2 linked regions of the Oryctolagus cuniculus genome follow. The main gene of each other region encodes a partner of the protein of the gene in region 2 in a complex. Links are inferred from orthologs where the notes say so. Each region holds a gene or a part of one and is shown on either strand. Other genes may lie near its edges.

What was found.
Region 1: the proteins of AMHR2 (region 2) and AMH are in contact, whole or in part, in a crystal structure (PDB 7L0J), measured with the Homo sapiens proteins. The link is inferred for Oryctolagus cuniculus from reciprocal best matches to the Homo sapiens genes AMHR2 and AMH. Residues at the interface, in NP_065434.1 of Homo sapiens: Gly31, Val32, Arg33, Gly34, Ser35, Thr36, Thr38, Leu39, Phe62, Ile64, Glu75, Met76, Arg80, Asp81, Ser82, Glu84, Pro85, Ser95, Arg97, Ala98, Pro100, Ser101, Leu106, Thr108; in NP_000470.3 of Homo sapiens: Leu471, Arg472, Glu474, Val477, Leu478, Ile479, Pro480, Glu481, Thr482, Tyr483, Gln484, Lys534, Leu535, Ile537, Leu539, Glu542, Arg543, Ile544, Ser545, Ala546.

Annotation. Positions count from the first base shown.
Region 1 is NC_091447.1:59,110,419-59,120,849, reverse strand, and holds AMH (muellerian-inhibiting factor), read right to left. Parts: upstream 5,081-10,431; 5' UTR 4,947-5,080; coding exon 4,058-4,946; intron 3,984-4,057; coding exon 3,827-3,983; intron 3,737-3,826; coding exon 2,875-3,736; 3' UTR 2,811-2,874; downstream 1-2,810. Other genes in the region: JSRP1 (junctional sarcoplasmic reticulum protein 1), read left to right, coding at 647-758, 1,037-1,074, 1,199-1,316, 1,423-1,587, 2,087-2,178, 2,271-2,666; SF3A2 (splicing factor 3A subunit 2), read right to left, coding at 5,422-6,201, 6,270-6,338, 6,457-6,597, 6,708-6,757, 7,024-7,133, 7,319-7,365, 7,756-7,827, 7,935-8,060; PLEKHJ1 (pleckstrin homology domain-containing family J member 1), read left to right, coding at 9,603-9,696, 9,775-9,842, 9,932-9,998, 10,072-10,162, 10,293-10,356. UniProt on the Homo sapiens protein: Plays an important role in several reproductive functions. Induces Muellerian duct regression during male fetal sexual differentiation. Also plays a role in Leydig cell differentiation and function.
Region 2 is NC_091442.1:56,420,006-56,429,297, reverse strand, and holds AMHR2 (anti-Muellerian hormone type-2 receptor), read right to left. Parts: upstream 9,104-9,292; 5' UTR 8,553-9,103; coding exon 8,504-8,552; intron 8,204-8,503; coding exon 8,021-8,203; intron 7,824-8,020; coding exon 7,632-7,823; intron 7,360-7,631; coding exon 7,279-7,359; intron 7,120-7,278; coding exon 7,007-7,119; intron 6,887-7,006; coding exon 6,656-6,886; intron 3,801-6,655; coding exon 3,686-3,800; intron 3,560-3,685; coding exon 3,387-3,559; intron 3,208-3,386; coding exon of another isoform or gene 3,151-3,207; coding exon 3,060-3,150; intron 2,896-3,059; coding exon 2,759-2,895; intron 1,973-2,758; coding exon 1,682-1,972; 3' UTR 1,039-1,681; downstream 1-1,038. UniProt on the Homo sapiens protein: On ligand binding, forms a receptor complex consisting of two type II and two type I transmembrane serine/threonine kinases.

The DNA of each region.
Region 1 (10,431 bases), on a different chromosome or scaffold from region 2:
GGGGCGGGAGCTGCAGGAGACGCTGCAGGGCTCTGGGCCTCCCCCCCCTCAGGCTGCAGCCCCCTCCCCACTCAGAGCCCCAGCCGGGCGGTCGTCCCCCGGGGGGTGGGGACCCCCCTGGGGAAACAGAGCGTTGGGTCCAGTCAGTTGGCCTCCGCCGGCCGCTGCGGCTCCGCCTGTCTCCCCATCCGGCATCTGGGAACAGAGGTGGAGGGGGGGCACGGCCCTGGGGGGGACCCAGGCCTCGGGGGGGGGGGGGCTTGACCTGCCGCGGCCCGAGTCAGGCAGGTTCGGAGCCCCTGGGATCCCCGGGTCAGACGGGCGGGGATCCGGCGCCCAGAGCGCGGCTGGAGGGTTGGAGGGAGACCCCGGGGAGCAGAGGCCTGGGCGGGGCTGGGTCACCCTCCGGCCTGGCCTGCTGGCCGTGGGCACCGTCTAAAAATAGCCCTGGTCTCAGAGAACAGGAGCTGACCGGGGCTGGTCTCCGACTCGCTGCTGTGTGGCTTCGGGGGTCTCTGGTAGAGGGGAGGCGTGGGGGCCGACGGGGAGGGACCGAGATCAACCCCACGAGACGCAGGGCTGGGTTGGTTCGCAGGAATTCCCCGTGGCCCACTCTGCCCGGCGGCCCTGCCCCGCCGCTGTCCCCATGACAACCCTGGAGGAGCCGGACGGAGGCCTGGGCAGCTGCCCGGCCGGCGAGGACCTCTCTGTCCTGGCTGAGCCCTGCCCAGGGCGGCCCCCGGAAGACAAGGCTGCAGGTGCGTGGCCGGCGGCGTGGAGCCAACCCCGCGGCAAACCCTGAGGCCTGGCTCTGCCCGGGGGGGGGGGGGCTCACGTTGCGGCCCCAACCCCTGCCCCCTGCCCTGCCTGGGGGTCTAAGGAGCCCCCGGAAAAGCGGGGGTGCTAGGTCAGCAGAGGGGGTGAGCTCCCGGGAGCCACGGAGTGCGGTCCTCTGTGGCCGGGTCTCTGCAGCAGGGCCGGGGGGGTCTGGCGGTGCCCCCTCCCACCCTGATCTGCCCCCTTGCTCCGGCCACAGGGTCTCCCGGGCTGGCCCACTCCGGCAGCTGGTCCCCGGTGAGTAGCTGGGGTCCTGGGAGTGTGGGACGCCCAGGGGCTGGGTTTCTCTGGGGTCAGCTCCCTCCGCGCGCTCCTGGGCACGCACGGGCCGAGGAAGCACCAGCACGGGCGATTCCCGCAGGACTCTCGGGAGCCGGGGGCAGGGAGCGGCGTGGACGCCAGACCCAAGAAGACGGACAAGGAGCCCGCGGCCAGGGGCGCCCCAGGACCCGGGCGGGACAGACCGAGAGCTGGCACCAGTGGGTTTGCAGCAGGCATGCGGGGGGCGGGGAGAGGGCAGGGCCGAGCGGGGGGGAGGGGTTCTGTGCGTGGAGATCAGAGCGCGCCCCCCACTTGCCCCTGCAGCCTCCCGCAGCGCCCCCGCGCGCAGGAAGCCGCAGGCCGCACCGCCACCGCCGCCTCCGCCGGCGCCCAGCGAGGAGCTGCCCTGGGGGGCCGCGTCGCTCAACACGTGCCTGGTGCTAGCCGCTCTGCTGGCGCTCCTGGGCTCGGCGCTGCAGCTGTGCCGCGGTGAGCGCGCGCGCCCGCCCCCCACGCCCAGCTCCTGGCCTACGTCCCCCCCAACCCCCGCCTCCGGCCTGGAGCAGCGCCCCCCCACACGCCCAGCTCCTGGCCTACGTCCCCCCCAACCCCCGGCCCCGGCCTGGAGCAGCGCGCGCCCGCCACCCACCCCAGCTCCTGGCCTACGTCCCCCCCAACCCCCGCCCCCGGCCTGGAGCAGCGCCCCCCCCACACGCCCAGCTCCTGGCCTACGTCCCCCCCAACCCCCGCCCCCGGCCTGGAGCAGCGCGCGCCCGCCCCCTTCCTCCAGACCGGAGCCCAGGACCTACGTGGCCGTGGGCTTCGGGGGCCCCCACTCCGGCCCTGGGGTGCTCCTGCTCCCCAAAACAGGAAGCAGGAAGACCCTGGGAGTCAGGCCCCCTACGTCTGTCCTGGGCTGGGGGGCCGAGAAGGGGTCGCCGGCGTGTCCCCGCCCTGGCTGACTCGCTTTCCCGCCGGGGTCCCCCAGATGCTGTCCTTGGGGAGGCCACAGCCCCAGCGCCCGTCCCCGAGCCGTGGGTCCCACCGAGCCTGCCCAGGAAGGAACCGGTGGCGCCCCTGGTGAGCATCCTCCGTTGAGTGATCGCGGGAGGACGGGCCGGGACCCGGGAGGTGGGCGCTGACCTCAGGACCCCCAAATGTCCCCGTGGCAGCCGCAGCCCCCCGTCCTGGCCCCCGCCACTGCACGGCCTGAGCCCCCGGCGGAGGCGGAGGACAGAGGGAGCCTGGGGGCTGCAGACGAGGCGGAGGCAGAGCCCGGAGGAGACCCCGCAGAGGCCGCCGAGAAGCACGCGCCCCGCGTGGACCGCGGGCCCAAGGACAAGCCGCGGAGGACCAGGCCGCGGAGGACGCGGCCGCAGTCCGAGGAGCCCCGGGAAGCCCTTCCCCGGCGCTGGGAGACGCGCGAAGGGGGCCGTGGGCCGTGGGCGCGGGACTCCAGGGACCCCGGGCGCAGCAAGAGGCAGGCCCGGGCTTCGCCGCGGCGCCACGACCGCGAGGACCGGCTCCCGGGCCGCCAGAAGCCGCGCGCGGGCAAGGGGCGGGACTGAGCGCGCGCCCCAGCACGCCGTGCCCACTCCTGCAAAATAAAACCAGTGCCGCGGCCGCCGCCTCCTTAGCACCTGCAGCCTGGGGGCCCCCGGGGACAGGCGGGGGGACCCCCACGGGCTCCCAGACACACACGGAGACCCCAGCCGGTGCTCGCTCGCTTGTCTTTATTGGGTGCGAATAAATAGGTGAGGGGCGCTGGCGCGGGGGTCACCGGCAGCCGCACTCGGTGGCCACCATGTTGGGCACGTGGTGCGCGCTGATGCGCTCCTCCGACAGGCTGATGAGCAGCTTGCCCGCGTAGGCGGTGGGCACGCAGCAGGGCGCGCGCGCCAGGGCGGCGCCGCGCGCCTGCATCTTCAACAGCAGCACCACGTGGTTGCCGTAGCGCGGGTTGCGGTCGGACTGCGGCCAGGCGCACGCGCCCTGGCAGTCGTTGGCCTGGTAGGTCTCGGGGATGAGCACGGAGCGCTCGGCCCGCAGGTCCACGCTGAGCTCACGCAGCGCGCACGGCCCGGCGGCGGCGGCGGCGGCCCCCGCGCTGCGCTGCGCCCGCGCCGCCCCACGCGCGTCCTGCCCGCGCCACTCGCTGCGCAGGCCCTGCAGGGCCTTCAGCAGCAGCAGGGCGCGCAGGGCGCCGCCCGGGGCCCGGGGGTCGCCGGGGCACAGCTCGAGCAGGCGCGCCAGCAGCGGGGCGGCGGCGGGCGGCAGGCCCGGGAGGCCGCGGAGCTCGGCGGCCGCCGCCTGCAGCTCCGCGGCCACGCGGCGCGCCAGGCCCTCGGCCCACGGCGCGGACGCGGGGTCCTGCGGCTGGGCGGGGTCCCCGGCGGTGGGCGCGGAGGGCGGGAGCAGCAGTAGCAGGGGCTCCTCGCCGTCCAGCAGGCGCTCCAGTGCCGCGGGGTCCGACAGGTTGACCGGGCCCTGCGGGAAGCCGGCCAGCGCTCCGGGGTCCAGGGACAGGCGCGGCGGGGAGGCGCGCGCCGGGGTGCCCCGCAGCACCCGCACCAGGCGCGTGAGCGTCTCCAGGAAGGGGTCGGCGCTGGGCGGCGGCTCCTCCGGCGCCGGGGACGGCCTGGAACGCAGAGGCAGAGAGCGGAATTGGGGGCAGTGGCGGCGCGGCGCCACGCCCACCTCCCTGTCCCCGGCTCGGGCCTGCGCGCACCGGGGCGGCGGGAAGGGCACCGTGTCCAGCTGGCCGTGCGCAGGCAGTGGCGCGGGGGACTGCGGCAGCAGCAGCAGGGCCGGGGTCTTCCGCGTGAAGCTGCGGGGGTCTGCGCCGAACAGCAGCGCCTGCAGCTGGGCGGTGCTCAGGGGGGGCCCTGCGCGGAGACGCCGGCGGCTCAGGGCCCGGAGCCGCGCCGGCCGCCCCGCCCCCGCCCCCGCCCCCGCCTACCGTCTCCGCGGGGCCGCAGGGTCAGCGAGAGCCCAGAGCCGCGCCACGCCTCCGCCGGCTGGGCCACCACCAGCGCCGAGTAGCGGGTGTCCGCCGTCGGGCAGAGGCTCTGCGGGGGCGGGGCACGGCAGGCTGGGGCGGGGCACCTGCCGCGGCACCCCCCCGCCCCCCGCCCATGCCCTGGGCGCCAGCCGCGGACGCTCAGGCCTTCGGAAGACCCCCGCCCCCTCCCCTGGGGCCCGGGACCGCCGCATGCAACCCGCTGGTCACCTGGGCCCCCGGCAGCCCGGGCCCGCTGGCGGTGACGGCGGGGCCGGGCGCGGGGTACAGCACCAGCAGCGCCAGCTCCAGCGGGTGGGCGCCTCCGGGCGGGGGCCTCTGGAACCTCAAGGAGGGCGTGGGCTCCCAGGTCACTGCACAGGGCAGGCGGCGCTGAGCGCGTCGGCCAGGCCCGCCCCGCGCACCCTCCTCCAGACGGCGGGGGCGGGCACCTACCTTCCTCCAGGTGCAGGACCCACAGCCGCGGCGCCCCCGGCTCCCCCGGCTCCCCCAGCCGGGCCGCCAGCCGCCGCAGCGCCGGCAGGGCCGCCTGCGCGGGGCTGGGGCTGCAGACCCCGAAGGTGTCGAGGTCGCGGGGGCCCCAGCGAGCCCCCCGCACGGCCTCCAGGAAGGCGGTCTCGTGGCCGCTCGGGGCCCCCACCACCCGCAGGGCCGCCCCGCCCAGGGTCACCAGGCACAGGGGCTCCCGCGGGCCGCCCGCTGGCCAGCCCCAGTCCTGGCCGAAGAGCAGCTGGCCCGCGCTGCCGGCCGCCCCCGCCCCCGCCCCGGGGGTCTCGGGGGCCAGCAGCCGCAGCAGCAGCAGCAGCAGGGCGAGAGGCAGACCCGGCATGGCGGTGCTGCAGGGCGCGGAGGCCGGCTTTTATGGGCCAGGGAGGAATGTCTGGGCAGCGTGGGGGCGTCTCCCCGGTGGCCTTGGGGACACGCACGCCCCGGTGGGCAGGAGACGCCCGCTCAGGGCTGCCTCTGTCCCTATCGCAGGGCCGTGTCCTTGAGAGGCCTCCGTCTGGACCCCGCGGCCAGACCCAGACACAGGCGGGAACCCCTCTGCACACGGGCGGGCAGCCCGGCCAGACGGGCTCCCTGAGCCTCCCCCAGCGGCCACTCAGGCCCCAGCCCCGCCCTCCCCCGAGTCCCCCAGACACAATGGTCCACTCAAGCCCCAGCCCCCCCCAGCGGCCACTCAGGCTCCAGCCCACCCCCGCACCCCTCCCCAGACACAGCGTCCACTCAGGCCCTAGAAAACGTTTAATAAACCAAGGTGGGGAGGGGGGCACAGAGGACCAGGCTCGGGGGCGGGGGGCCTCTCAGTTGGCGGGGGGAGGGGGAGGGATGTTCCCGGGGCCTTCGGAGGGGAGCGGGGGCCTCAGCATTGGGGGCATGGGGGCAGCAGGGTGCACCCCGGGGTTGGAGGGGTGGACGCCAGGCGGCTGGGGGTGGACCCCAGCAGCCGCAGGATGGACGCCAGGGGGCTGGGGGTGGACCCCCGGGGCCTGGGGGTGGATCCCGGGGGCCGCTGGGTGGACCCCTGGGGCCTGGGGGTGGACAGCGGGTGCCGGCGGGTGCACCCCCGGGGCCTGAGGATGAACTCCAGCCGCTGGGGGAGGGTGGACCCCCGGCGCTGGGGGGTGGACCCCGGGGGCTGGGGGGTGGACCCCTGGCGCTGGAGGGTGGACCCCCGGGGCTGGGGGGTGGACCCCCGGAGCAGGGGGGTGCACCCCAGAAGCCGGGGGGTGCACCACAGGAGCCGGGGGGTGCACCACGGGAGCCGGGGGGTGGACCCCGGGGGCTGGCGGGTGGACCCCAGACGTGGGGGGGTGGACCACCGGGGCGGGGGGGTGCACTCCTGGGGCTGGAGGGGGCAGCTGGGGAGGCCCGGGGGGCCCCGAGGGTGCGGGCCCCGTGGGGGGCATGGGCGGCAGGGGCAGGCCGCCGGGTGGGGGTGGGGGCAGAGACTCCGGCAGGGGTGGCCGCGGGGGCAGACCGTTCATCAGCGGGGGCGGGGGCCGCTTCACCCCCGGGGGCCCGGCAGGCAGGCTGGGCGGGGCCGGGGGCTTCTCCATCTTGAAGTGGAACTGCAGGAAGAACTGTGGGGGGGTGGGCTCAGCGGGGCTGCCCCGGGTGGGGGAGGGGGCCGGGTGGGGGCGGGGCTCACCTGCTTGGTCTCCCTGTTCCAGTGGGTCCAGAACTTGCCCTCGGCCTTGTCGATCTCCCTGCTGGGCACCTGGGGGGGGGGGGCGGCCGTGGGTCCTGGGGTGGGGAGGGGGCGCGGGGCTGGTGCCGAGACCCAGGGCGGGGCGGGGAGGGGGCGCCGTGGGTCCGAGGGAGGCGGGGGGCCCTACCTTGAAGGCGATGGTCTCGTAGGGCTCGGCGGCCATCAGCAGGTACTGCCAGCGCCGGTCCGGGGGCTCGATCCTCTGCTCGTAGGCCGACATGAAGCGGTGCCGGGGGGTGATGCCCTCGGCGATCTCGGGGTAGTCGATCTGCGGGCGGGCAGTGTCAGGGGCCCCCAGCCCCCACTGCCCCCCGCCCCCGCAGCCCCCACCCGGCCCCGCCCCCGCGGCCCCCCCCCCGACCCCGCGGCCCCGCCCACCTGGAAGAGCAGGCTCTGCTGGCCCATCTCCGTGTCCCGCTGCTTGGTCACTGCAACACCAGGGCCGGTGAGGGGCCCCCCCGCAGCCCCACGTCCCGCCCAGGGCGGCAGGTGAGGCCCAGGTCCCAGCTCAGAGGGCCGGCCCAGGGCTGCACGCCACAGCCCCGCCTGCCCCTCCGTGCCCAGGACCCCGCCTGCCCACAGCCCCACGGCCTCGCCTGTCCCCGCCTGCCCCTCCCTGCCCAGGGCCTCGCCTGTCCCCGCCTGCCCCCCCCCCCCCGCCCAGGGCTGGTGTCGGGCGGCCCCGCCCCCTCACCTTTGTAGCCAGGGCGTCCGATCTTCACGAACTTCTTCACCTCCACCTTGACCTTCTCGGGCGCGGGCTGGGCGGGCGCCTCCTTGGCCTCCTTGGCTGCGCGCCGGGCCCTGGGGCGGGGCAGACGGGCGCTGTGGTCCTCCACACCAGGCCAAGGCCACGGGCGCAGGTGCAGGAGCCCCCCTGCCCGGCCTTGGGCTCCCGCGGGGGGGGTGAGGGGCGGGGCCCTGCGGCTGGGGGGCGGGTCAAGGGGCCCTCCCCCGTGTCACAGCCGGGGGGCGCGGGGGGCACTCACAAGTTGGTCTGATGCTTCTTCCCTTGAGTGTGTGCGAGGTAGCTGCCCTGCGTGGAGGAGGCGGGACATGAGGCCGGGGGCGGGGCCAGGCCGGTGGGCGGGGTAGCGGCAGGCGGGGTGGGGGAGGACCAGGCCGAACAGTGGACAGGGCGGGAGGGGGGGACCAAGCCGGCCGGGGGGTGGGGCAGCGGCAGGCGGGGGTCAGGCCGGGGGCGGGGGGATCAGGCCGGCTGGGGGCGGGGCCAGGCCGGTGGCAGGCAGGAGCGGGGGACCAGGCCGGCCAGTGGACAGGGCGGGAAGGGGGGGGATCAGGCCGGCCGGTGGAGGGGGGGGGCCAGGCCGGCCGGTGGGCGGGGCGGGGGCGAGGGGTTCAGGCCGGCCGGTGGGCGGGGCGGGGGCAGGCAGGGGCGGGGGCAGGGTACCAGGCCGGCCAGTACCTCGTTGTTGTGCAGGGTCAGGCACAGCTTGCACTCGTAGGAGCCCAGGTGGTTCTTCATGAAGTAGGGGTCCTGGGGGAGAGCGGCGCGGGGCGTCAGGGGCGTCAGGGGCGTCGGGGGCGTCGGGCGCGTCGGGGGCGTCGGGGGCGCCCCGCGGGGGGGCGGGCGGGCGGCCCTACCTTGTTGATGTCGATGGTCTCCAGGGCCAGCTGCCGCAGGCGCTCGCGGCGGTCCCGGTTGCTCTCGGAGGAGGAGGCCACGCCCCCACTCCCGGTCTTGCCGCCGGGGCGGTGCTGGAAGTCCATGGTGCCGGCCTGCGGACCTCAGCGCCGGAGAAGCCTGCGGAGCCCAGACCGGGGGGGGCCCTCAGGACGCGGCGGGGGCCGGAGACCCCAGGAGGCAGCCCCCAGCCCCTCCCGGGCGCACCCACGCGGGCTCTCCCGTGTCAGCCGCCGGGCCCAGCCGCGGGCGTCGGGGAGAACGGGGGCGCGGACGACCGCCTGGCGCCCCCCCGCCGTCCACTCCCCAATGCCCCTAAGCCAGGGCTGGGCCTCCCCGTGGACGGCAGGGGCCGCTCGGGCCCCATTCGGGCACTGGCCCGAGTCCTGGCTGCCGGCCCGGGCCCCGCACCTGCTCTGACCCGGCCCGGCCCGGCCCGGCCTCCGGGGACTGGACCGGCGGGAGGAGACCCCGCCCCTGCGACCCCGACTTCCGGGCACGGCGCGGGCGGCCCGGCTGACCCCAGGGCGCTACCGGGCCCGCCCGCGGTCCACGCACGAGCCGCCCCCGGCTGACCCCAGGGCGACCCGGGCCCGCCCGCGGTCCACGCACGAGCCCTGGCGGCCCCACAGCCCCTCCATCGGGACGCGAACCCAGGACCTCAGGGCTGGGGGAGGGGGAACCACGCGAAGGGACAGTCGGACAGCGGACCGAGGGGAAGACGCGGCCCCGGGCACGCAGGCTTGCGGGAGGGAAATCTAAGACGCAGCCGCATCGCCGTCCGCACCCGGGACGCCCCGCAGCCCCCCGGGCGCCCGCGACCGACCCCCACGACGACAAAGGCGCCAGCGGGGGCGGCCTCGGGGGTCCCGGCGGCTTTTGGCGGGAACGCCGGCACGCACCCCCGCGCGCGGCCCCGCGGCCCGGGCCCGCCCCGCCGAGCAGCCGAAGGCCCGCGGCCGCTCCCCGGACCCCGGAGCCCGCCCCGGACGGACGCGAGACCCCCGCGACCCCCGCGACGCCCGCCGCGGAGTTCCGGAGGGCCGGGGTCGCCGTGGGGCCCGCCGCCCGCCCCGGCCCCTCCCTCCCGCGCCCCCAGCCCACCCTGGGCGCCCCGGGGCCCCGATGGCCCCCGCGCCTACTTCGTGTGGGTCGCGCCCCGCGTCGCAGGCCTCCGCCGTCCGCCTCAGGAGCCGCCGCCACGACGTCGCAGTGCGCACGCGCGGCGCGGGCGCTCGCAGCACTTCCGGAGGGAGGACGGGCCCTCGAGTGTGCGCATGCGCGTGCCCGAGGCGCGCCTGCGCACAACGCGCTCCGCGCGCGCACCCGCGTCGGCTCTTGGGGGCGGGGGCGGGAACCGGTAACGCCCCGTCCGCCCGCGCTCGGCGGTCCTTCGATCCTGCTTGCGCCTCAGACCCACTTTATTCCGCGGCTGTGTCGCGGCTGCCCGGCGTGTACCCACGCCCCAGCACGCCGCGGTCGCAGCGCGCAAGACTCGCCCGTGGCGCGCAGGCGCAATGGCGCTTCCGGGGCTCCGACCTGGGATCTTTCTGGCGCGAGCGGGGACGGCGGCCGAGAGGGCTCAGAGCTAGCAGCGCGCGTTCCCGGTCCCGGGCAGCGCCGGCGCCATGCGCTACAACGAGAAGGAGCTGCAGGCGCTGTCCCGGCAGCCGGCCGAGATGGCGGCTGAGCTGGGCATGCGGGGCCCCAAGAAGGGCAGCGGTGAGCGGGCGCGGGCGCGGGCGGGGGCGCGGGGGCGCGGGGGCGCGCGGCCGCCCTGAGCCCGCTGTGTGCCCGCAGTGCTGAAGCGGCGCCTGGTGAAGCTGGTGGTGAACTTCCTCTTCTACTTCCGCACGGACGAGGCCGAGGTGGGCGCGGGGCGCGGGGCGCGGGGGCGGGGCGCGGCGCGGGGCGCGCGGGCGCGGGGCGGCCCCGCTCACGGCGCGTGTGCCCGCAGCCCGTCGGAGCCCTCTTGCTGGAGCGCTGCCGGGTCGCCCAGGAGGAGGCGCGGAGCTTCTCCATCGGTGAGTGCGCGGGCCGGGCGGGGCGGCGCGGGCGCGGGGCGGGCGCGGGCACCCACAGCGGCCGCTCCCGCAGGCTTCCTGGAGGACCCGGAGAGGAAGTACGTGTTCGAGTGCGGCAGCGAGGAGCAGTGCCGGCAGTGGACGGAGGCGCTGCGCAGGGCCAGGTGGGGCCGGGGCGGCGGGGGCGGCGGGGGCGGCGGGCGCGGCGGGCGCGGCGGGCGCGACGGGGGCGGCGGGCGCGGCGGGCGCGGCGGGGGCGGCGGCCTGACCCCGCGGGCACGGCCTCTCCCGCAGCTACGAGGTCATGCGGAGGAGCCTCATCTTCTACCGGAATGAGATCCAGAAGATGACGGGCAAGGTGCGGGGGGCGCGTGCGGGGCGGCCGGGCGGGCGGGGCTCCCGGCCCCGGGCCCCGGGTCACCGCGTCTCCCCG
Region 2 (9,292 bases):
AAACACGAATAGACTGTTGAGCAGAGACATAAAAGTTGTATCTAGAACATATCCAAGGGAGGAGCAGGCATTTAACCTGGCAGTTACGATGCCCACTGGGACACCTGCAGCCCCTATTTTAGTGCCTGGTTTGAGTCCCAGCTACTTTACTTCTGTTCCAGCTTCCTGCTAATGGGCACCCTGGGAGGAAGCTGATGGTGACCCGAGTGCCTGGGTCTCTGCCACCCCCTTGGGTGACCCAGATTAAGTTCCTGGCTCCTGGCTTCAGCCTAGCCCTGCCTTGGCTGTTGCAGGCATTTGGGGAGTGAACCAGCAGACGGACGATCTATGTCTCTGTCTCTCTTCCTTTTGAATAAAGTATAAACAAAAAAATTTTTTGTTAACTAGCTGTAGAGTGGTAAATTAGCCTAGATTAGGGGAAAACAGGCACAGACACAGAAATGGAGGCTGAGCGCCTCAGCACGCCCAGGCCTGGCCTCCACATTCCCCCACTCCCATCACGCCCCCACACTTGTGTTGTCCAGATTACTTGGTTTTCCTGCAGTGCTACCCTTTCTGATTGGGCCAGGATCACCCCCTTCTGCACCCTGCACTCCTGCTAGGTCCAGACCCCCTCATGGTCCCGGGGCCGTGAACGCTTCCTGCTCAGGCCTCCCCTGGTGCTCCCAGGACACTGTACAGAACCCAGCAAGGTGGACTGCAGGTCTCTGGGCAGCTTCAGGGCAGTGACTTCACTGTGTTCAGCTCTCTTTCCCCAGCACCTAACATGAGCCTCATCCCACAGTTTAAATAAACGCTGACAAAGAAGGAAAAGAAGAGCTAAGGGAGGGTCCCAGGATCACCAGAAGGGAGGCAGTCCCAAGGGTGTGAGTTAGGAGAGTGGACTTTATTTCCTTCCTGTGCGCATCTGCCCACGGTCAGGGTCAGTGGACTGAGTGCCCACCAGAGGGTCAGTGGATTTGTCACGGGGTGGGGGAAGGCCACAGAAGCAAAGGCCACGGTTCTTCACGCAAGAAAGAATTCAGGCATGAGACAGAGTGCAGAGTGATAAGGTTTATTGGGGACAGGGCATCTGTCAAAACGGAGGGGACAGACAGAGAGCGCTCAGGGGAAGAGCAAGGTCACATGGTTGAATGAAGAGAATACACCTGGGCAGGCCAGGCGGGCGGCTAGGCAGAGAGGCAGAGGGCTGAGTGCGTGGTCAGTTTGGACTCCCTAGGTTTTTAAGGGAGTCTGTTTACCCACCTCCCTTTCTCCTCCAGGACAAAGAAGGGGGAGCCCTGGTGGAAGGGTTTGTTGAGTGAAAATTTGCAAATTCCTCCCCAGGTTTGCTGGCAAGGGGACTCTGTGAAGGTTTTATTGCCCTGTGTTATCAGATCAGGTAACCCCTTTGGTCCTGAGGAGAGAGAATTCTCCTGGGAGTTTGCCTTGAGGGAAGGGCTGGGACCACCTGGGAGGTTAGCAGGGTCTGGGCAGGACTCTGAAGTGCAAGATGCTGGGTTTCTGGGGCTTCTGCAATGGGTGCTGGTCTTCAGGCCTGTCTCACACACACACACATAGGCTCAATTTCCAGCTTCCTGCCTAACAGATTGGGGAGTGGGAAAACAGTGGAGAGGCAGAGCAGACAGGTATACCAGTGCCATGTTTACGTTTACAGGTGGATTACACACAAACTGCTTATTTACACGTCAGAACTGGCACAGGCAGCTCCGGGGTTCCTGGAGCAAAGGCCTTGCTGAACACCGAAGTGGCAGGCACCCGGCTGTGGGCTGCCGGGGAGGAGAGCAGGGGCAGGGGCAGGAGCAGGGGGCCAGTCTTCTGGGTGGCCGTGTGGACGGCCCTCTGGGCAGGGCTGGGCCTCCTGAGGATGAACCAGGGCCACCAGGCGCTGCTGGACACACTCGGCCGTCAGCCGCGCTTCCGGGTCTGCGTCCCAGCAGTCTTCCAGCAGCTCCCTGAGCCCGCCGGGGTCCTGGGGGAGCGAGCAGGAGGCAGGCTTGACCCCGGGAGCTTGAGTGGCTCCAAGGCTACAGGCATTTTCAGTGCCGCTGCTGTTTCTCCCTGGAGCCTCCCTCCTCTCCCTCTCGCCGAGACAGCTGCCTGAGAGCCTTCCAGAGGGTCCACTTTTCCTCCAAAAGAGCTAATTTGCATAGATAGCTCAACTTGCTAATAGCAAATCCACCCTCCTTCCCCTCCAGCAACCAGGGTCTTTTACAACCACTGTCTGGCTTCTGTCATCTAACCGGACAGACCAGGTAGCAGAGGGGCAGCCTGTTTAGGATGTTATCTGCAGGCCCTTTGCCCCTAGAACTGGCTTTTACTGCGTCCCCCTCGCAGCAGAAACAGATATACAGGCCAGAGCGAGGAGCAAACTTCACTGAATCCTGGGCTCCCGTGCGCTAGGAGAGTCAGCACCTTGGGGCAGACAGCCAGGGGAGGGGGCACCTTGGGACAGGAACAGAGGCAGGGAGAGCTTCCTGGAGGGGAGGATTGAGGAGCAGGGCTAACTGGTGGCAGTGAGGAGGGAGAGACTGCACAAGGCTGGGCGGGACAATGTCATGGGTCTCTGGTGCATGGAGCAGGCTGTGTTAGGGTAGAAGAGCAAGTTTGCCCAGTTCCAGCTGAATGCGAACTAGGAAGTGGGGCATATGGGAGGAGATAGGAGCAGATGAACTTGGCCCTGACAGGGGCGTCCTTGAAGCTCACGCCCAGCCCCCCCTGCTCCAGATCCCTAGGCCACCCGCCTGTGACCTCTTACTGTGGCAAAGCAGCACCAGGAGGATGGGATGTCAGGGCGCCTCCTCTCCTCTACTGCCAGGGCCCACAGCTCACAGGTGGTGGGGGCGCTGCCCAGTTCTGCTTCATAGGCCAGTTGGAAGGGTGGTGGTCTGCCGTCTGGGGGAAGGTGGCAGGGAGGGGGGTCAGTTTCCCTTCCGTGTAGAAAAGCCAGGGAGAAAAAGGTCATAGCTTTCTGAGAACAAGGTCAGGACGTGGTTGGCCCCTAAAATGGGTCAAAGGGGAACCAGGGGAGGGGTCCAACCCCCCCGCCCCATCCATACCAGGCCTCAAATCCGGGCAGCGGCTCAGGATCTCCCACAGGAGCAGGGCCAAGGAGTAGACGTCGGCTCGCCGGAGGGCAGTGCCCCAGTCCTGTAGGTCCAGAGACTTGTCCAAGAGCTCTGGCGCCATGTACCTCTGTGTGCCGGCCTGAAGAAGGCGGTGTGGAGGGCCAGGAATCACCTCTGCCGGGCCCCTCACTGCTGCACTGAACCTCCCCCGCACCCAGCTCCAGACTCAGCAAACATCCTGCACATTGTAAATCCTGCTGCTCTATCCCAAAGACTCCATCCGGCACCCTGGGCCTCACCCTTACCCAGGGCACTCACCTCCATGATGGCCGCTGGGCCTCGGGGCTGCGGAGGGGCCCAGGCACGGGGCTGAGCGAAACCAGGGAGCACCAAGGCCAGGCCCAGGTCTCCAATGGCACATGACCCATCTTCCCGGATGAGCACATTCTGGCTGCTCAGATCTCGGTGGGCAATACCAGGCTTGTACTGGCCTGTGAGGAAACCCGAGGTTCAAGGTCACAGATCTCTTTCTCTTGTAACCCAGTGGGTCTCCTCCAAGCTAAGGAAGCATCGGAAACCTAACAGTGTGGCTGCTTCCCTGCTCCCAGCTCACCTACCATCCTGCCAGCGCTCCTCATGGAGAAATGCCAGGCCCTGGGCTAAAGACAGAGCCATCCTCAGGGAACTTCCCCAGTCACTGGTGTGCTGGCTCAGGTACTGGCACAGGGAGCCCTGGGGTGGAGGGGGAGGAAGCAGAGGGCAGGATGGGACACACACAGCTCCATCCTAGAGAACAGACATCAGTTCACTCCACCACCACCCCCCCTTGCATCTCCCCAGCAGACACCGGGACACATCCAGACCAAGACACAGGCAGCGGAGGGGGAGTGAGAGTGAGCCTCAGACTAATGTGACAAGCAGCAAGTGTGGGTCAGGTGTTCCGAGCATTCCCTGTGGCTTAGGTGGGTGCTCCTAGGGCCTCCACGTGACGGATGAGATTTACAGAGAGTGAAACTGACTTCTCTGAGGTCTGTTAGTGAGAACGTGGACCTTGAATTCAAGCTGACTCACGCATCGCTCACTGTCCACCACCACCCTACCCTGACTCAGAGGACAAAGACGGAAACAGAGGAGGCTGGATGAGCTGTGCAAGGGCATTGCTCGTGACCCGGCTGGCCTGAGGCAGCCAGAGCCCATGGGAAGGGTGAGAGAAGAGCAAATTGCAATAGCAGGGAGAGAGTTCCTCATTCCACGAACGGCAAACACTTCCTGCGTCCAGCAGTTTGCTCAGACACTGGGATGCCCAGGGTCCGGTGAGAGATAACAGTCCCATAAAGTATAGAGTGTGCAATAAACCCCAGGATAGGAACCCGCACTCAGTGTCAAGGGCATAGAATAAGAATGACTAACACTGCAGGGTGGGGTGGGGGACAGAGAGAGAAGCTTAAACAAACAATGCTTTTTGGGCTGGGCCAGTAGCCATGAGGTCGAAGAGAGGGGGCTTTCCAGAATTTAAGATTCCAGGGGTGGAGGAGCTGATCGAGGGCAGCATGTGGGCACCGAAACTTAAACCGGAAAGGCGGGGCTACAGTGGAAATGTGGGAAGAAACAGGCAGCCCAGACGGAGCGGTAAACAGGAGAGAAGTAGCACAGATAAGAGGGGAGCCCTCTGGTCACCCGGATACCAGGCAAACACTCTCCTTTCCTGGGCCCGGGTGGATCATAACTCCTACTTTATAGCGCATTTGTGGAGGTTAAGTTTGAAAGCACGCCTCGGAGCCAGCAGGTTAAGCTGCCCCCTGCGATGCCAGCATCCCATATCAGAGCGCCAGTTGGAATCCCGGTTGCTCCACTCCGCTCCAGCTCCCTGCCGATGTGCCTGGGAAAACAGCAGATGACCCAGAAGCTCCTGGCTCCTGGCTTTGGCCTGACCACCCAGCCCTAGCCACTGTGGCCATTTAGGGGGTGATTTAGCAGATGGAAGACCTCTTTCTCTCTGTCTCTCCCTCCGTGTCACTCTGCCTTTCAAATAAATAAAATAAATCCTCAAAAAATGTGTTGAAACTTCCTATGCAATGCATAGTGCAAAGTAGATGGGGAAAAGGCATGGACTCCAGGAAGAGCTTCAGACCTTGAGCTGGTCTTCCGCCTTTGCTGCTCTGGATCTCCCCCTCGTATTTTCTCTTACAGGATCATGGCCCTCTCTTTTAGCACTTAGAACACACAACATTCCTCTCTTATTTTTCTTCACTCGATCCATTTCTACCTCTGCTTCCAACTAGAAAATCTGTAAAGGCAGTGACTGTTCTTCTTGGTATCGAGTGCTCGCCCTATAGTTTGTAAGTATTTGTTGTTGAGTGAAGACATGAGCAAATTTGGAGGGCAATGCTTGGAGGCATTTCTGCCTTTTTTTTTTTATTTAAAGATTTGTTTTATTTGTTTGAAAACAGAGTTACAGAGAGAGGTAGAGACAGAGAGAGAGAGAGAGGTCTTCCATTCACTGGTTCACTCCCCAAACGGCCGCAACAGCTGGAGCTTGAGTGGATCTGAAGCCAGGAGCCAGGAGCCTTCCCCGGGTCTCCCACATGGGCGAAGGGGTCCAAAGACTTGCGCCATCCTCCACCGCTTTCCCAGGTGCACCAGCAATGAGCTGGATCGGAAGTGGAGCAGCCGGGACTACAACTGGCATTCATATGGGATGCTGGTGCTGTACTCAGTGCTGGCCACAGCATTATTTATTTTGTATTTATTTGAAAGCCAGAGGAACACACAGAGAGATTTTTCCATCAGCTTGATTCACTTTCCTCCAAATACCCACAACAGCCAGGGTTGGCCCAGGCCGAAGACAGGAGCCAGGAACGCCATCCAGGTCTCCTACATGGGTAACAGGGACCCAAAGTACTTGAGTCATCAGTATCTCCCAGGGTGCACATTCGCAGGAAGCTGGAATCAGAAGTGGAGCTGGACTCAAACCCAGACATTCTGACAAGGGATGCAGGCGTTCCAAGGGCTGCCTTGGAGGTATTTCTTTAACAATGATTTTCTTCTTTAAAGTTGGGAATGTTTTAATTTCTGCCTTGCTGTATCTAATATATGGACTAAAAATATTAACATGTATAATTTGTGTAATAAAAAAGAAAAATCACCTTTAGCGTTTTAGAGAAAATATGAAGCAAAAGATGAAGTGTGGCTAGGGTCTAGCTTCCGTGCAACCCCTAACCCCGTATAAACACACAGGCGGGGCCAGCACTGTGGGCGTAGCCGGAAAAGCCGCTGCCTGCAGTGCCAGCATACTATATGGGCGCCAGTTCTAGTCCCGGCTGCTCCACTTCCCATCCAGCTCTCTGCTATGCCTGAGAAAGCAGTGGAGGATGGCCCAAGTCCATGGGCCCCTGCACCCATGTGGAGACCTGGAAGAAGCTCCTGGCTCCAGATCAGCCCAGCTCCAGCCGTTGCAGCCATTTGGGGAGTGAAGCAGCAGATGGGAAGACCTCTCTCTCTGCCTCTCCTCTCTGTGTGTGTAATTCTGACTTTCAAAAAACTAACCAAAACAAAAAACACATAGGCACACATTCCTTGGTGCTTACCTTGGGGTGCAGTTCCAGTACCAGCAGGGGCCCAGAGGGCAGGGGGCCGGGTCCCCCCTGGCCAGCAGCGATAAATCGGACAACGTGGTTGTGCTGCAGGCCCGGCAGCTCATACAAGGCTCTCTCAGCTCGGAACTGGGCCACGGCCCTCCGGGGGAAGACCTTGATGGCCACCAGCTCCCCTTGCAGCTGCCCAGCCCACACTGCCGCGTGACCTCCTTCCCGGATGACCTGGTGGGGAACCTGTGCTGGGTGTGGACCTCTGAGCTAGAACCAGGGCCAGGCTTCCTCCCCAGCACGACCTCCAGGAGGACCCAGAAGAACCCAGCCCTGCCTCCCTCCCTGGGGCACCTGGGAGAAGCACAGCTGGGGCAGCTCCGGCAGCTCCTCACTGCAGTCCCTGCCTGAGTCTGGCTCTGGCTCTGGCCCACTCTGCACCCTGTAGGCCTTTCGCTGGAGCAGAGCTGGGGCAGAGAAGAGCCGTGGGGTCAAGGGTACACGGGCACAGAGACCGGGAAGGGGCTTTTGTGGGGCGGGAGTTTTGGTGAGAGGTCAGGGGTCGGGGTGAGAGGTGCCTGGAGAGGGATTGGAACTTTGGGGCGGGGGGTGGGGCAGAGCAGTACCCACGACAATACCGCCCAGCAGCAGCAGCAGCAGCAGCAGGACCAGCCCCAGCAGCGCCAGTGCCATCCAGGGGGACTCACCTGCACATGAAGGCAAGAACCAGCCTGCAAGCCCTGCCCCAAACCCTGCGGTTGGCTCTTCTTCCCCTCCTCACCGAGCTTGCTTCTCAACCCACCCCCACCTTGGTCGCCAGCCCCCTTATCTCCCGTCACCAGGGCAACCAACTTCCCAAGGCCAGGAGGAGGAAAGCTTGGGGCAGGGAGGTAGGGTGAGAACTGGCCCTGTTTCTGCCTCTCATGCTAACCTAGGCCCCAACCCCCACGGGGTTCCAGTACCCCTGGGTTGTAGCTACCTGGGGCAGCCTGGGGACCCTGGGGGCCAGGAGTCCCAGGGCCCCCCAGAGGAGGCAGATGGCTGTAGTTGGCATTGCAGAAGTCAGCACCACAGGAGCAGGTGAAGAGAGTGGAGCCAGAGCTGGCGCGGGCTCGGGGGCTCGGGTCACAGCTAAGGGACTCACAGCCTGGCTCGTCACTGTCTCGGCATCCTGACGGGTTGGGATTCGGGGAAGAGGAGAGAGAGAAGGAGTGGGGGAGAGAACACAGCGGGGTCTGGGATAAATCCCTTCTCTATCAAAGGCGTCCCTTCCCACTCACGTGGGCTTTTCTTTCCCTCCACACATTCCATTTCCCCCTTCCTCCTCAGCGCCGCCCGCCCCCACCCTAGCTATCACCTGCCATTCACCTTGCATCTCCACCTGTGCCTGGTCTCGGGTTAGGTTCCAGATCCCAAAGCAGCAGCGGCTGTAGAGGCAGCGGATAACCCTGGGGGGCCCTGGTCCTGCATCTAGCAGCTCCCCCAGTGTCTTTGTGCTTCCCCGCACTCCAGGGGCCTCAAAGAACACACAGGTCCTCCTGTTTGGGGGTGCTGAGGCCCAGGATGGGGAAAGGAGAGGATTCAAAACGGGAGTGAATGCTGGGGCAAAAACAGTAGCCAAAAGGATAGACAAAGCATACATATATAAATATATTTTCATAGCCCAGGGTCACTAGAGTGAAGCCACAGGAGGACATGGGGTCAGCCGAGCCTGGAACCTGAACCCCGCCATCGGGACACATGGGTCTACCCTTCACCCTCACTCATCCAGCCCTGTCGCCCTCTCCTCACGGTGCCCCCTCCCCGCATGGGGTGATGGGAAATACCCTGCCCCTCTCTGTGGGCACTTACCCTGCACAGCCGCAGGAAGCAGTGCCCAAAGCCCCAGAGTGCCCAGCATCCTGCCGCAGGGTGGCAGCCGCTGCAGGAGAGCACCAGCCAGCGCGGCCAGCGCTCCCTTTACATACAGGGCACTGTGGGGCTTCAGGTCCCTCAGTCCCCAACTCCGCCCCCTCCGTCCTATCCCAGTCTCCCGGGAGAAGGCTGCTGTGGGGGAGAGGGTGGGTGGGGGGAGAGCAGAGGAAGAAAGGGAGGAGCGGGAACCAATCTCATATCCTCCTCGCTTCAGCCACCTCCTCTTTCCTCTGCATGGTGGGAGGAAGGGGCCGTGGAGGCCCGGCTGAGAGCCTGGCGATGCCTGACTTCAATCCGCTGCCTTTGGCTGACCCTGAGAGGGTGCTGGGCCCTGTTGGCCACTTCTCAGGCTTAGAAAAACCAAAGCCATGTCAAGACCTTAGAACCATGCATTCAGGGGTAACATCTGAAGGTCTCTGGGCAGAGAGCAGCTTCACAGCCCAGAGTTCTAGTCTTCCAAACTCAGGAATTAGAAAGGATATAAAATTCCCCAGAGTTAAAAATCACATCATTATTGAAAGGTTAACTTTTTCTTTTCTTTCTTTTTTTTTTTTTTACTGGGCACACACCATGTGCTAGGGTGCAGCTACGTCTATTCCTTGATAATCATCTCACTTCTCCTGCACAGGTAGTTAGGAAAAGTGAGTTTAGGTAGGCTGTCCAAGGTCAAGTCGGATCTGAACCTAGGTAAATCTGACTCTGAAGTCCAGGCTTTGTTCTTTGTAA